2 linked regions of the Mytilus edulis genome follow. The protein of the gene in region 2 interacts with the protein of the main gene of each other region in a pairwise test. Links are inferred from orthologs where the notes say so. Each region holds a gene or a part of one and is shown on either strand. Other genes may lie near its edges.

The links. The genes of interacting proteins can lie anywhere in the genome.
Region 1: the proteins of phosphorylated adapter RNA export protein-like (region 2) and cytoplasmic dynein 2 light intermediate chain 1-like interact in a two-hybrid assay, tested with the Drosophila melanogaster proteins (2 studies listed by BioGRID). The link is inferred for Mytilus edulis from reciprocal best matches to the Drosophila melanogaster genes Phax and CG3769.

What each region holds. Positions count from the first base shown.
Region 1 is NC_092346.1:36,842,939-36,850,344, forward strand, and holds the start of cytoplasmic dynein 2 light intermediate chain 1-like, read right to left. Parts: upstream 3,022-7,406; 5' UTR 2,943-3,021; coding exon 2,932-2,942; intron 825-2,931; coding exon 772-824; intron 1-771. Other genes in the region: KIF-binding protein-like, read left to right, coding at 3,388-3,500.
Region 2 is NC_092347.1:45,194,666-45,201,961, forward strand, and holds the start of phosphorylated adapter RNA export protein-like, read left to right. Parts: upstream 1-4,217; 5' UTR 4,218-4,592; coding exon 4,593-4,658; intron 4,659-7,114; coding exon 7,115-7,296. Other genes in the region: uncharacterized protein, read right to left, coding at 621-923, 2,135-2,713.

The sequences.
Region 1 (7,406 bases), on a different chromosome or scaffold from region 2:
TAATGAATTTTATTAAAATCATTTAGGTGTAAATATTCTTCATTGTATGTGCTAAGGGTTGTCTAATACTTGCAGTGATGCAGTGAATTTTTTTTTGCTCCATGCTGAAGGTCTCAATGTGACTATCAGATGAAGAACAACAATAAAAGCGCTGTTCCTTTGCTATGTGTTTTTTTCATTGATTTAAATTTTGTGTCATAGATGGATACCAGTTCACATATCTTTTCTTTTCTGTATTGTATCCATAATCTCAACATTACATTATAGAGAATAAATTGCTTCGCTGAGCGCAGCTGAATACAACCGCAGAGGTACAGCCCTGAACAGTTGGGGCAAAAATGGAGACAATACTCACGCTTGATACAGGTCTGAATTTGGATTGTAATTAAATATTTGACACACAATAGGTTTCTGACACAGAATAACTGTAGTCAATGAGCTTAGAATTGGTTATATGGTTTGAATTATTTATATATTTTTTTACATGTCCAAAACCTGACATTTCTTTTTACATATTTTACAAGTAGTGTAAGGGAGGTTAATCAAAACATAGACAACATTGTATTTTAAATGTAATTGGATTACCTCCCTTACACTGGTTTTAAATTGTCTTAATTGTCCATTAACCAGAAAAACTAGTTTTCCCTCTTTTTTTGCCCCTAATTTCTAATTTGTTTGAGCCATAACCTCCCAAAGTCAATCCTAACATGATATAGTATTATACGACGCAAAAATTGTTTTGCGGTCGTATAATAAATACTGATATCATACCTTTACTTTCATTTGATTCCTGTATTGCAACATCCCATAAAGATTTTTCTAGTCTGAAAGCAAAGATTTTTTTTTCCATTAAAATATCTGTAACTATAGATCATATATATGCATTTTTAGCACTACAAATTTTGTATTGGTTTTCTGTATTTCTTGTCCTCTGTTTAATGTATTCACCACTTGTCTATCATGCTTTGACAATTTAGAGTTTATAATAGTATGTAGGAACTTTGATTAAAAATAGTCTAGATAAGTTTATATAATATCTATTTTTAAGTTATCCTTTGTTTTTTATACATCTTTCTTGGCAAACAGTTACTGTATTATACCATGTATACCAAGACAGGAGGCTTTGTAACTCCAAAGCCTGCATTTCTCACCTGGCTATCATTATTTTAGTGTTACCTTATCAGAAAATACAACTAATCTAGGGACCTTATTGTTATTTGGGATTCTGCAACACTTAAAATTTTGACATTGTGCAACAATCTCTTTTCCTAATACACCTTATCGCTAATCCTGGCTGACCCGGCTGCTTGAACTTTTGACGCATACAACAATCACTTTTCCATTGTGGCGTCAGATATTTTGTTTTATGACGTCAACTTTTTACAGGAACCCGTGTGATATCCAGTAATGGCGGACAAAAAAGCGATAAGGTGTATTGTGAAACAGTATATCGAATATCAATATATATATGTTCCTAGTGGCATCAGACAATTTCTATTGTGACATCAAAATTTTAAGGTGACCAAGTTGTGATGTCCAGTAATATGATTAATATGGGACAATGTCCCCAATTACGGTAGAAAAATCAATTAAAAAAAAAAAAAAATCGGGAAAATTTCCTGAATTTTTCATTCTACTAATGAACTCAAAATCGTTAACTTTTTTTTTCAGATCTACTTCCGTTTCCAGTTTCTTCCGTTTCCGATCTTGTTTGCATGAGACTTTGAATAAAATATATATTTATCAACATATCAACAAAAATATAGGAAGGAATTCAACACCTAATCATTTTTAATAATTGTTTGATATGAAAAAACATTACCTGGATAACAGCGTTTCTTTGTTTACATTGAATATGACGTCATAACTTAAATAACGTCACAACTAAATCCCTAACAACAGAACCAATATTGGAAACATTATGGTATTTCCGTTTCTTTTATCAACATGTTTGAATTCAAAAAAAAAAATACAGACTTCGTCCCCATTCACAGGTTATATGCCTGCCTTATATTAATGGCAGACAAATAGCGATAAGTAGAATGAAGTACCGGTACATGTACGGTGTAGTCTGGTGTATCAGTGCACCTAAGACTTATAACTTCACTTTATCATGTTTATCAAAATGATAAAACCTTGCATTGGATAATATTGTGTGAAACAATTCATTACATACTTTAATTTCATAAAATCTTCTGTATGTATGGTTTCACCTTTTTAACATTTTGAGTAAAGTGTGTCCAAAATTTGGGAAACCCCTGTTTTGAGAGTTCTTCAAATAAATAAATTTGGTGTATATACTGTCTTCTGATTGGTTAAAATTTTTAGTTTTATTATTAATGTTGTCAATTTTGAAGACGACACGCCCACTCTGACGTTGTTAATATATATAATATAAAAAGTTCTTTGAGCCTTATTTTTGATAGAAATTTATTTATAATGAATGGCAATAATCTATTGCGGATTATTCAATGTGAAGAGTCAAAAATTAGTTTTATGGTTCAATAAATTCAAAGTAAATAATAGCCATTCATTAAATGTTTATTCTAATGCAACATCGTTTGTAACGTTCATTTTGATTGGATAACGTCACTTATTTACATGGCATCAATTGTCAATTGATGCTATGGGACGTACGCGCAAGGGCAGACGGCATATGACAGATTTTAAATACATGTTTTAACGTTGTTTTCTGTTTTCAGCTAACGCGTCGCCAGTAAACTTGATTTGCGACCATCAAATCCCAAATTGATGCCGCCGGAGCTTAATATACAATACAGTTATCTCCTAAGTGATCAATTTCTTACTGTTACTCAGTGTTAGAGATATGAAGGTTGATTTTTTGTGGTTTTCAAAAGGCTGAACTCTGTAACAGAATCTTTCATGAAATTGACAGAAATTAAAAGGTGTCATGGAAGAAGAAATTCTAACCCTTTTGACATTTCTGATAGTAGATGTAAATATTCAGTGGAATGTTACTGGTTCTGTTTAGGATTTTAAACCAGTGTATTGTTTATGGTAAATGTGATAACCTAAAATTAAAAAATAAATAATGAACACAACGTACCATTTAAAAGTTTTTATTGCACAATGAAATAAGTCATTAAGTAAATAAAAGAACAAAATACCACAGAGATAATTCTGAACCTTTTTTTCTTCTTCAAAAAATATATTTTCTTGTCGGTAAAACTATTTATTTCCTTGCGGATAATCTATTCGGAAAATATTCTCACTTTAACCGGTACCGGTCTGTTACTATGACTGCTGGTTCCAGATTTATTTTCGCTCAGTGCGTTGGCTCAACCAACAATAAATAAGATCCAAACCAGTAACTGAAAAATTTAGCATATTTTATTCTGGAACAATCACTTTCGCTACACTTTCACCATGTCTAAAGCCTGGCAAGATTTCTTGAGTAGTGAAGGATTTGAACGTATCGACAGTGCAACGAAGCTGTCAGATGAGGACTTAAACGACGATCCAGAAGATGATCCATACAGGTAAATAGCCTAGCTTCATGCATCCATCTCAACCGACACTGTCAGTGAGTGTCACTGGAAGACTCTGCCAGTGACAGTGTCGGTTGAGATGGATGCATGTGCCAGACATAAATGTATGCCTCGATTTATGCACATGCACTTGTTTCATTTGATGGTAGAGGTCTTCCTTTTCCGTTTCACATAAAACAAGTGCCAGTGCATTTTTTGAATTTTTTTTAGAAGACCTACAATGACCTACAATTACATGTATTTATAATTTAAAGTCAGTTGTAAGTGTATATAGGAGAGTGTTAATGCCCTTTACCGTCAGGCGTCAAACGGTCATTACTGGCTACGGTTAATGTCAAATTGTTTAACTTTTTACCGTGATTCGTCAAATGTCTCAAAAATAATTACGTTACCATTATTTTGGGGGGAAAAATAGCGTGATTTGTCAAATTCCGCTGATTGTTATATCGTCTAAAAGAAAGTGTACATTTTATTGTCATGCACTAAAAATTATCGTTAACATCATTTGGCAAGAATTTTTACCGTTATACGTCATGAAGGTATCCCCATTACTATCCTCATATAGGGTATAGTAGACTTCCACAAAAGAATTTGGTCAGTTCGCCTACATTCGTGCCCTTTCATGTTCACCCCCTTTCACTTTCGCACCCTAGACATTTGCAACCAAAGTCTGTTCGCTCCCTAAATGTTTGCACTTTTTTTTATATAATTTTGTAATCAAGTTTTTGTGCCTTTGGCGCAAGTCATGTTTCCATGGTTAGTGTATTGCTATAGACATTTTTTTTTTCATTGTTTCAAAATAAAGTCATGTAAGTGAAAATCTGACAATGTTTTGGTTTTTTTTTGTGTTGAATAAATAACTATGTTTTGGTTTAAATAGTGCATTGCTATACACAAAAAAAATCATTGTTTCTAATATAAATAAAGTGGGAACAAACATGACAAAGGGATCAAGCTGTTCAAAAATATGTTTTATTCATACTACATTTTACTTACACAATGTAACTAAATACATGCAGTATTTACTTCAAAGCAGGCTAAAACAACAACCAGATTTTCAAACACACAATAATAATACCTTTGGCTGTGTATGAATAGCAATTATCAGCAATCATACATAATTAACCTTGAATAATTAATCATCAAATCAATAATAAAAAAAAGAAAAAAAACACATATTTCACATAATAATTCCTAAATTTTAATTTTGGTAGAATAAATTTGTACATGTATAAAAAAAAATCTAATAATGCAACTGGAATTTGAATAAGAATTGGGTCGAAAGTTTATGGGGCGAACATGTGGGATGTGAAAGTGTATTGGGCGCAAATGGACCTGATACAGCTACACCATGTACACAGTGACTATACTATTCAGTTAATACTATACATTACATTGTTACGTGTATATTCAAATCAACCCTCGTTCTTGGTGCCACGAGAAACACTTGTGACTATACAAGGACCTATTCATAACATTAACTGTATTGTTTTCAAATTAAACATTCACAAAATGTAAAAGATTATATACTTTAATAATACTAATATTGCTCTTCAGTAATGAACAGGTGCTTGCATGAATTAAAGGCAGAGGCTATTTTGTAGGCACTGATTAAAATATCTAAATTCAAGCTGCAGAAATGGCTATTTTACTGGCACCAGCAATAAAATAATAACTGTGTTATTTGCCTGTACTTTGTAAAGAGGAAATTTGATTTTGCTTTTGAAAAGTTCTATGAAAATGTGCACTGTCAACTTAAAAGAATTAAATAATTACTGATACACCAGTATTTCAATAAGAAAACAGCCAGGAACATATAAACAGATATACTGACATATACTGTTCCCAGAAACAGCTAATAATATTTGAGATACAAAAATGTACATATAATTGTTTAAAAACATTTATCAGTCAAAGTTAAAAGAAAAAAAATCATAAAGAGCATCCCATTTGTTGCAATGAAATTGTATCAAACCATGTACATGCAGCTGAAATAATTTCGAAAATCAGTCACACACTCTATATAATGCTACATGTATGCATAAGAATTAAAAAAAGGTTTTTTTCTTTATTTTATAAAAAAAAATATACATGTTAAAAATTTCAGTGCATCAACAATTTAATAAAAAATATAAAAAAGTCAACCACAGACATGTACAAAAATGTTTGAATTCAACTAACTTGCTTTTGAAATAATAGTCAGTTCTTTGAAATGTATATATGTCATGTATGTGTAAACAAAATTATAAACCATTTCTATAGAAAAAAGCTATTTTAATTTGACTTCTTGAATTTAGATATTTAATCAGAGCCAGCAAAATTTGAAATTGTTATTTTATTTTGCTGATGCGGGCAAAATAGCCACAGCCTAAATTAAAAGTTAACACCAAAAGTTATTTAAATAAAGAACTAATATCCATTGTAAAAATCAATTCACAACCAAAGTATTGCCATGTGGTATAAATTCATAACCCCATATTACTCTATAGTATATAAGTTCAAGGTCATCTAATTAGCAAACCTGACATTTATATGTATGAAGTACACAATCAAAAAGCTGTAACAGAAACTACATACATTTTTGTCGAGCCTTCGACTTTATTCGAAAAAGCGAGACTAAGCGATCCTACATTCCCTCGGCGTCGTCGGCGGCGGCGTCCACAAATATTCACTCTGTGGTTAAAGTTTTTGAAATTTTAATAACTTTCTTAAACTATACTGAATTTCTACCAAACTTGGACAGAAGCTTGTTTATGATCATAAGAAAGTATCCAGAAGTAAATTTTGTGAAAATAAAATTCCATTTTTCCGTATTTTACTTATAAATGGACTTAGTTTTTCTGCGAGGAAACATTACATTCACTCTGTGGTTAAAGTTTTAAAAATTTTAATAACTTTCATAAACTATCCTTGATTTGTACCAAACTTGGACAGAAGCTTGTTTATGATCATAAGATAGTACCGTTATCAAGAAGAAAATTTTGTAAAAATAAATTTCCACTTTTCCGTATTTTACTTATAAATGGACTTAGTTTTTCTGCGAGGAAACATTACATTCACTCTGTGGTTAAAGTTTTTAAAATTTTAATTACTTTGAGTCTTTCATAAACTATCCTTGATTTGCACTTAACTTGGACAGAAGCTTCTTTATGATCATAAGATAGTATCAAGAAGAAAATTTTGTAAAAATAAATTTCCACTTTTCCGTATTTTACTTATAAATGGACTTAGTTTTCTGCCAGAAACAAAACATTCACTCTGTGGTTTAAGTTTTTAAAATTTTTATAATGTTCTAAAACTATCTTGGATTTCTACCAAACTTAGACAAAAGCTTGTTTCTAATCATAAGATGTTATTCAGAAGTAACAAAAAAAAAATCACTTTTTCCGTATTTTACTTATAAATGGACTTAGTTTTTCTTCCAGTTAACATTACATACAGTCTGCAGTTAAAGTTTATAAAACATTTATTAGATTCATAAACTATCCTGGTTTTTTTTACCAAACTTGGAAGCTTCTTTCAATCAAAAGACAATATCGAGAGGGAAATTTTTATTGATGTTTTTCATCATTTTTGTTGAGTCTGCAAATAACAGCATAAGTAGGCGAGACACTGGGTTCCGTGGAACCCTTACAAATTTTTTTTGTATTCAACTGTTATTCAACTTAATTAAAAGTGCAAAAATTTAACATTTTGTTTGAGGGACTTCACTGCTTGAATATCTCTACTTCAGATGGTTTCTGACAGACCAACTAGATTGTGGTAGATTACCTTAGCTTTAAAACCTTGTGTAGTCATTGTTCTTCAACATTGTACTTTATTTGGCCTTTTCATATTTTTTATATGACCGCAAAAATTCAAATTGTTTTTGTCGTATATTGGTATCACAATGTTGTC
Region 2 (7,296 bases):
CTATAATTATTGCAAGGTATCATTATCCCTAGTATTTTCTCCCATCTTAACTCCATCCCATACAAAAAAAACAAGTATGTTCTTGTATAATTACTTCAGGTGCATGGTTTTTAATATTCACAAATTGCTGAGATTCATGTCTAAAATTGCATCTTTTTTGCCTGTTTTTTCAGTCATTCTCTTATTAAACATGTCTCAGAACTTGATTGGCTTACATTTACTTCTTTAAATTCTTCAACTTGGTAAGAAACAAAGGTTTTATTGATTTTATGGTTCACCTAGCTAACAGCAATAAACAAGCATGTATGTTTCATTTCAAAATTTTTTGTACACAAGTATATTTTCTGTAATATTCCTATAAAATAGTAATAAAAAAATATCATATAATTATATTTGAAAGAGTAAGTGATCTAAATACCTATCACAATATAAGACATTCCTCAGTTACATAGCTATTTTTATAATTTACAAATAATTTAAATATCTTTTAAGTATACCATTTGCTAAATACATCTGACATAATAACAGATCTAGTAGATACAAGTCAACATGGTCAAGCTGCCAAAGAACAATTCTATAACAAAAAAAATCAAATTTCTCTATTCACATAACAAAATAACTTATGTCTCAGATTGTTGATCTTTGAACCTTATCTCCCTGTCAATTTCTTTAATTCGGTGATCTATAAAGTCTCTTGTAGCAGGAGGGAAGTCTATGTGATTACCCATTAAACAATCAAATGTAAACCAAACATCTGTTGGTCCAGCAAAGGTTTTGTTATTGGTATTTAGTTTAAGGAGGTTTTCTACACGTATACTGGATTCTCCGCTGAGAAATTTAGAGTAGTTGGTTCCTTTTTGTTTCAGCTGGTTGATGAACTCGTTGTTTAGTTTTTCTACATTGCCTCCATTCTGTCTGGCTTCCTGTAATATATGAAAGAACAAATGATTGTTTTGAAATGCTTTATAATCGTATAATTACATGTACATCAGTATCATGGATATACATGTATCAACAACCATATAATTCAGTGATGTTGTCTGGTGTTGTGTTACATCATGTACATATTCGTTTTTCTTTCATTAATTTGCGCATACACAATGTAAATTTTCTCATTTTGAGTTTTTTAACATTTGTCATTTTGGAGGCCTTTTATTGTTGAAGGCCATACATGTGTATGGTGACCTATAGTTGTTAATTTCTGAGTCATTTATCATAAGTTACATGTGGAGAATTGTCTCATAGGCAATCATATCACATCTTCTTTTTTTTAAGTACATGTTTAGGCAATCTTTCAGATGTTCAGTAACCTGGTAACATTTCTAACACATTTTAAATTAAAAACAACATAAGACATGTAAAAGCTATATGTTTTTTGCAGGCGCATGTTTACATGAACACGTATAAGACTTTTGATTGATTTTCGAACATTCAAATAGGAAATTACCAAATAAAAGATGAATTTTGGTCTTGTTTGTAGATTTTCTTATATACAGCTGAAACACATGTGAAACAGTTACTGCAGACTTTCCATAGCGATATTTTCAAACCAAAATAGGTTATTAGATGTATTGATATTCATTTGCATATGGTCTATTTCTTTCCAACACAGCTCATACATGTATATGGTATACTGTCAAATACAAAATGTACATGTACCAACCTTTTTAATATATCCTAAAACAGGTTGTACCATTAATTTAAGAAATTTTTTTCAATATTTTGTGGTTTGTTCTTTCCATAAAATTTAGCACATCATCTAAAGACAATTTAAAATATCACCATGATCACCAGCAGAATTTTCTTAATTTTTTATCATCATGATCATGTAAAGCAAATTCTCATACATGACCAACAAAATCCCCTACACACTTGATTAAACTCAAAAGAATTCATGTACAAAACATTTCAAAACATGCAAATTGTATGACCAATAAAATTGAGAACGGAAAATATGCATTAGAAAAATTGATTCACATCTAGTAATATAAGGATAATCTTGGTTCAGAATACTGCAATAAATTTTGCATGTCATGTTTTCAAACGAAATATGTTTAGACTTAATCATCCCTTATACAATGTTATACAAATGTACATGTTATAAAAAGCTTTTGATTTTAACTGCAAACAGTACCTTTATTGCAAGACAAAAATCTTTCAGCATCTTTGAAGCATTACCCCAGTAATCTTGACAAAAATGCACCCGTTTTAATATAAGACTTTTGGTTTTCACACAGACAGCCAGAAAGTCACACCAAGGTAATTTCGAGACACCCATCTGACCTTGAATTTGGGCCATATAATGTCTAGGTATGCCATGTGGAGCATTTTGTCCATACAATGAGAAGACAGGTGCTTTAAATTCACATAGACCAACTGGTTTCCTGGTATTATCTAAAACAACAGCATCAGGAGATACTCCAACTAAACCTTCTATGTAATCTCCCTTTGCTGGTATCCAAAATCCAGTTTCTCTTGTCTGGTTTCCAGTTAAAATCTGGTACATTTCACTAATGACAACTTCCATGTTAATACCATGTTGAGCTGAACTAGATGTCTCTTCTTCCTCTTCTTCTGTGAGGTAATAAACAAGAAAGTCATATGGTTTACCTCGACCAACACCCAAAGCTTCACCAAAGTTTGAAGCTGTCAGCTGGACAGATTTTCGCAATTCAAACCATTCTGATGACCTCTGTTGTACATGAATTTCCATTATAGCAGTTTCATGTAAATATGTATGCTCATATTTGTTTCATTCAATGTGACTGCTTCTAGGTGGTATAAAACTGAAAACAAAAACAATGATATTAAATACATACATGTACATGTATGTTAGAAATATATATATACATCATCTACATCCTGCAAATATTGCACTGATATTTAATCATTGTTAATAGATAAAGGAGAAGGCACATCTATGACAAGACCCCTTTTTTTGTATTATCAATCGACCAAAAACATTCTTCAGATGTTTATTATATGCACATGATGTATGACATTAGTTTATGAACATCAGTATAAACACTTTGTCATGTTTGTAATTTGTCTTAAATTTTGGCAGTAAATATTAATATTGTGTTCAGCCTTTCACTTTCTCACATTCATCTCTGACATGATGTGTTTATGGCATTTAGAGTAAAAGCAGCAAAAAATTATCAAAATAGCTTTGATTTGACCTCTTCATTGATATTTTGGCTAAAAAATGTGTTTTACAAACACATGGATGTGTGTAAAATATCTTTTTTAGGTAAAGCAGTTGCTCATACATACATTTTGTATTTTGACCAAATTGCCTATTTTCATGATTTTGGTAAAATATGTAAATTTTCATCTGTCTGACTCTACAACATGTACAATACATGCTCTATGACCATGTGATGACATCATTAGACAAATTGTCACACTCTCTCCATGTAGAAAACCCTTGTAAATTGTAACTACTCTTTCAGGGGTCTAGTAAGTAGCTAGTCCAAATAAGTTTGACTTCTTGAAAGGCTACTAGTCTATACCTTTTGCTTTAAAATGATGTCTTACGTACATACTCTACAAGAGGGTACGTAGTAATGACAAATAACAGTTAAAATTCTTGCCATACATGCCATATGATTTAAGGTAATTTTTGGTGCTTGACGATAAAATGTACACTTTCTTTAAAACAATAAAAAAAATTGACTGTAAGTGTTTTGATGCATCAAGTTAATTTTTTTCCAAACACGACTCTATTAAACGACATTAATTTGAGACCTTTTACGATACACAATAAGGACATTTTGACAAATCAATTTGTTACTGACGTTCGGTAGCTGAAAAATTATCATTTGACGCCTGACGGTAAAGAGCATTACTACCCCCTTTAACAATGTTTAATGCGTCAAAGCAAAAAGTATTTATAATAGCTTTCAAGATGACTAATTATTTGCTAAATTTTTGTACCTATCCATGTCATTTCCTATATTAAGCAGAACCTACATATAGTACTCATTGTGAATACCGTTCTGAACATGCATGAAATACTTGCAAGTGGACATTTAATATTTAATCAACAAAATTATGTATCAATCAGACATTCCCAATTTGGCATATTGTTTCAGTTTGATGAAAGAAAGGGGGAAAATAAGATTTAGAAGGAAATTAAAACAAAAGAAAACATGTACACATATTGCATTTTCAGGTAAATAATTATCTCTGACTGTCACACTCACTCACTCACAGTCTGAGACCTGTGTGTTCGATTATTGAGCAGCCTCATCAGCAAGTAAATAATTTAAAAACAAAAAATTCACAACTTGGATACCACAGTCCACACTTGTATCTTTTTAACTGTTAGCAATTTTAAAAACCAATCAAATGTACAAGAAAATAAATCAAAGACGTGTGAATGTGAATGATATCATAAATAGTGTATAAATATAATAATAGTTACTTTAAAGTCAACATAAAAATGATTAACACTAACTAATCTGTGATGTCAAAACTTTTTTCTTCTTTCGAAAGGAGGAAATAAAGAACTAAATCTGGTTCCCAGTTTGAGTATGCATTTTTAGACCTTCGAATTTACTGCAAGTACCAGATTTTAGAAGGTGTGAAGCATGGAACAGGGCGATTTTGAGGAGGGTGAAATTTTGGATTCTGATGGAGATGACCAAAATAATAAGGTTGCAATATGTACACAATTAATTGTTTTAAATGATACACACACTAAACAATAAGTTTAGCTTGCTCGTAGTGAAAAGAAACGTTGATAATACGTTGTTATTTTGGCTTTCGTGTTTTCGAGACGTTTCGGTCTCGCAACCATTTTTGTCACACGTCTTTTCGGCCACAGAACCAGTTTGGTGACAGTCGATTCGGTCACAGTTTTTCGTATTTTATTAACACACACATATAGATATATATAGGCAATAATTAATGTAACAAGTTTGGTTTGAAGGAACAAAAAGTCATTTTTTCATAAAAGTTTTGAAAGTGTGCTTCTGCTCATGATACACCTTATGGCTATTCCCTGCATATGTCCTGCTTGAACTATTGACGTCATACAATAATGACTTTTTCATTGTGGCGTCAGATATTTTGTATTTATATGACGTCAAAATTTTACGGGAACCTGTGTGATGTCCAGTAATAGCAGACAAATAGCGATAAGGTGTGTATTTCAGTCAGAGCTCAGACATAAACAAGTCATTTTTTGTTTTTGACTTACAGAAGTCAAAACATGTATTTATTATAAAAATGTGTTTTCAATTTTAGACTTATCTAAGTCAGAAAATGACAGACTTGTTTAGGTCTATTTATGTTGATGAAAAAACATAATTTGGCTAGGTGGCCAAAGTACACCACCTATGACAGCAAAAACCTGTCTGAGAGTTCACAAGGACTTGAGCTATTTATATTTAATTATCCAATTGAACATCCTAACTAAACACAGATATTTTACCTCATTAAGTGTGGCTCCAGGTGGTTGCACTGTAAGGTTAATTAACATTATCTCTGATTTTTTAGACTCTCATTCATATTTCCTTCCTTCATGTCCTTGTACATGTAGATGTTGTACGTCTCTACGTAGGAAAAGTTTTAATGCCTGGTATCCTCTAGATATATTAAAGTTAAATGCATTTTGTGTTTCAGAAAGATACAATCTCTTTTGGATCTTGATGGGCATTTTTTTCCTTCATGCATAAGGTATGAAAATTAACTAAGTTGTGGATCAACTTTGAGATGCTCCCTCAGGTAAAAACTGGTTTGTACAATGTATTGTATTGAATGTCCTTAATTGACATGGACAATAGGCATCTTCACAACTATAGGTGAGTTAAAGAGTTTATCCGAGTCAGTGAGTGGACAGTATCAAAGTAATTCAGGTGTTTGTTTATTTTTACACCTTCTGCAGAAAGGAAAAAAAAATGCCCATCAAAAACCAAGAAAGATTTTATCTTTCTTAAACACGAAATGCATTTAACTTTATATATCTAGTGGATGATAGGCCTTAAAACTTTCCAAACGGTATAGGTACATGTAAGTCTGTACACAGAGTAGTTTTTGATGTGAAAATACGGCCATATTTGTCCATTTGTTATGAGTAAATTTAACTTTGAAAACTAGTGAAGTATTTTGACAGATTTACTGGACTGCTTTGTACTATTACATGTACATGTTAGTGATAAGTCTTTGTTAAGACTTGAAACAAAATTTTCATTTCACTTTAGTTTTTGATTAATGTATTTTTCAAATGGGTCCCTTGAACATCAAATTTGGAATTTTTATCTTAATTGGGAATTTTTTATGCCTAAAATCTACCAAGACTAAATCACAATATTTTCCTGTAAAAATGGAAAATATATATTAATTAAGTTTCACCTGTACCATTTGTACACTGAAGTAAGTTGTAAAATGTTATAGAATTCTGGATGGGCTTATATTAATATTATATGATTACCAGATCACTTGAATTGACAGTTATTGGATTGAGGCCAGGGAAGTTGTTACATGAATATCATTGCACATGATGCACTATTATCTTGGCTGTAAACTATAAAGTGGAATGATCCCTTAGACATGTTAGAGATAATACACATTTAAAAAAATAAATAAATCAATAATCATGTAACTATTTATTTCACAACAAACATTACAAACATAACCATGATAACACTTGCCTATACACGCAGTTCCTAACATCCACTTTAATGTTTAAAAAACCCATGGATACAACATGGTCATGATACATGTAGAAGGCTATAAAATGCTCCAAAATTGCATGCAAAATAATTCAAACAAGAATACTTATATGGCCTGATTTATATACAACTTACATGACTTACAAGACAATAAATGAATATAAAATATTATATACAGCAGCTAAAATGATGTACTTTGACCTCTTATGGTTTACTTTTACAAATTGTAACTTGGATGAAGAGTTGTCTCATTGACACTCATACCACATCTTCTTATATCTATTAAACTAATTCAGATGCTTTGAACATATATACATGTATTGATCATGTAGGTTTCTTGCTAGCTATATATATATACATTTTAGCATGTACATGTATGTAATTTATCATTTTCCATGTATTCATTTCATTTCTCTATTTTTCATTTCAATTTGCAGGACAATGAAGAAAGTAAGAAATCATCATCTGAAGAAGAAGCTAGTGACAAGGAACCTGAGCCAGATCTTCTAGATACATATACAGTTATAACACGCCCATCCGATTCTGGAAATAACACGAATAATGCATATCGTCAGAGAAGTACATTGATGAGTAATAGTGACAATGACGATGATTCCTC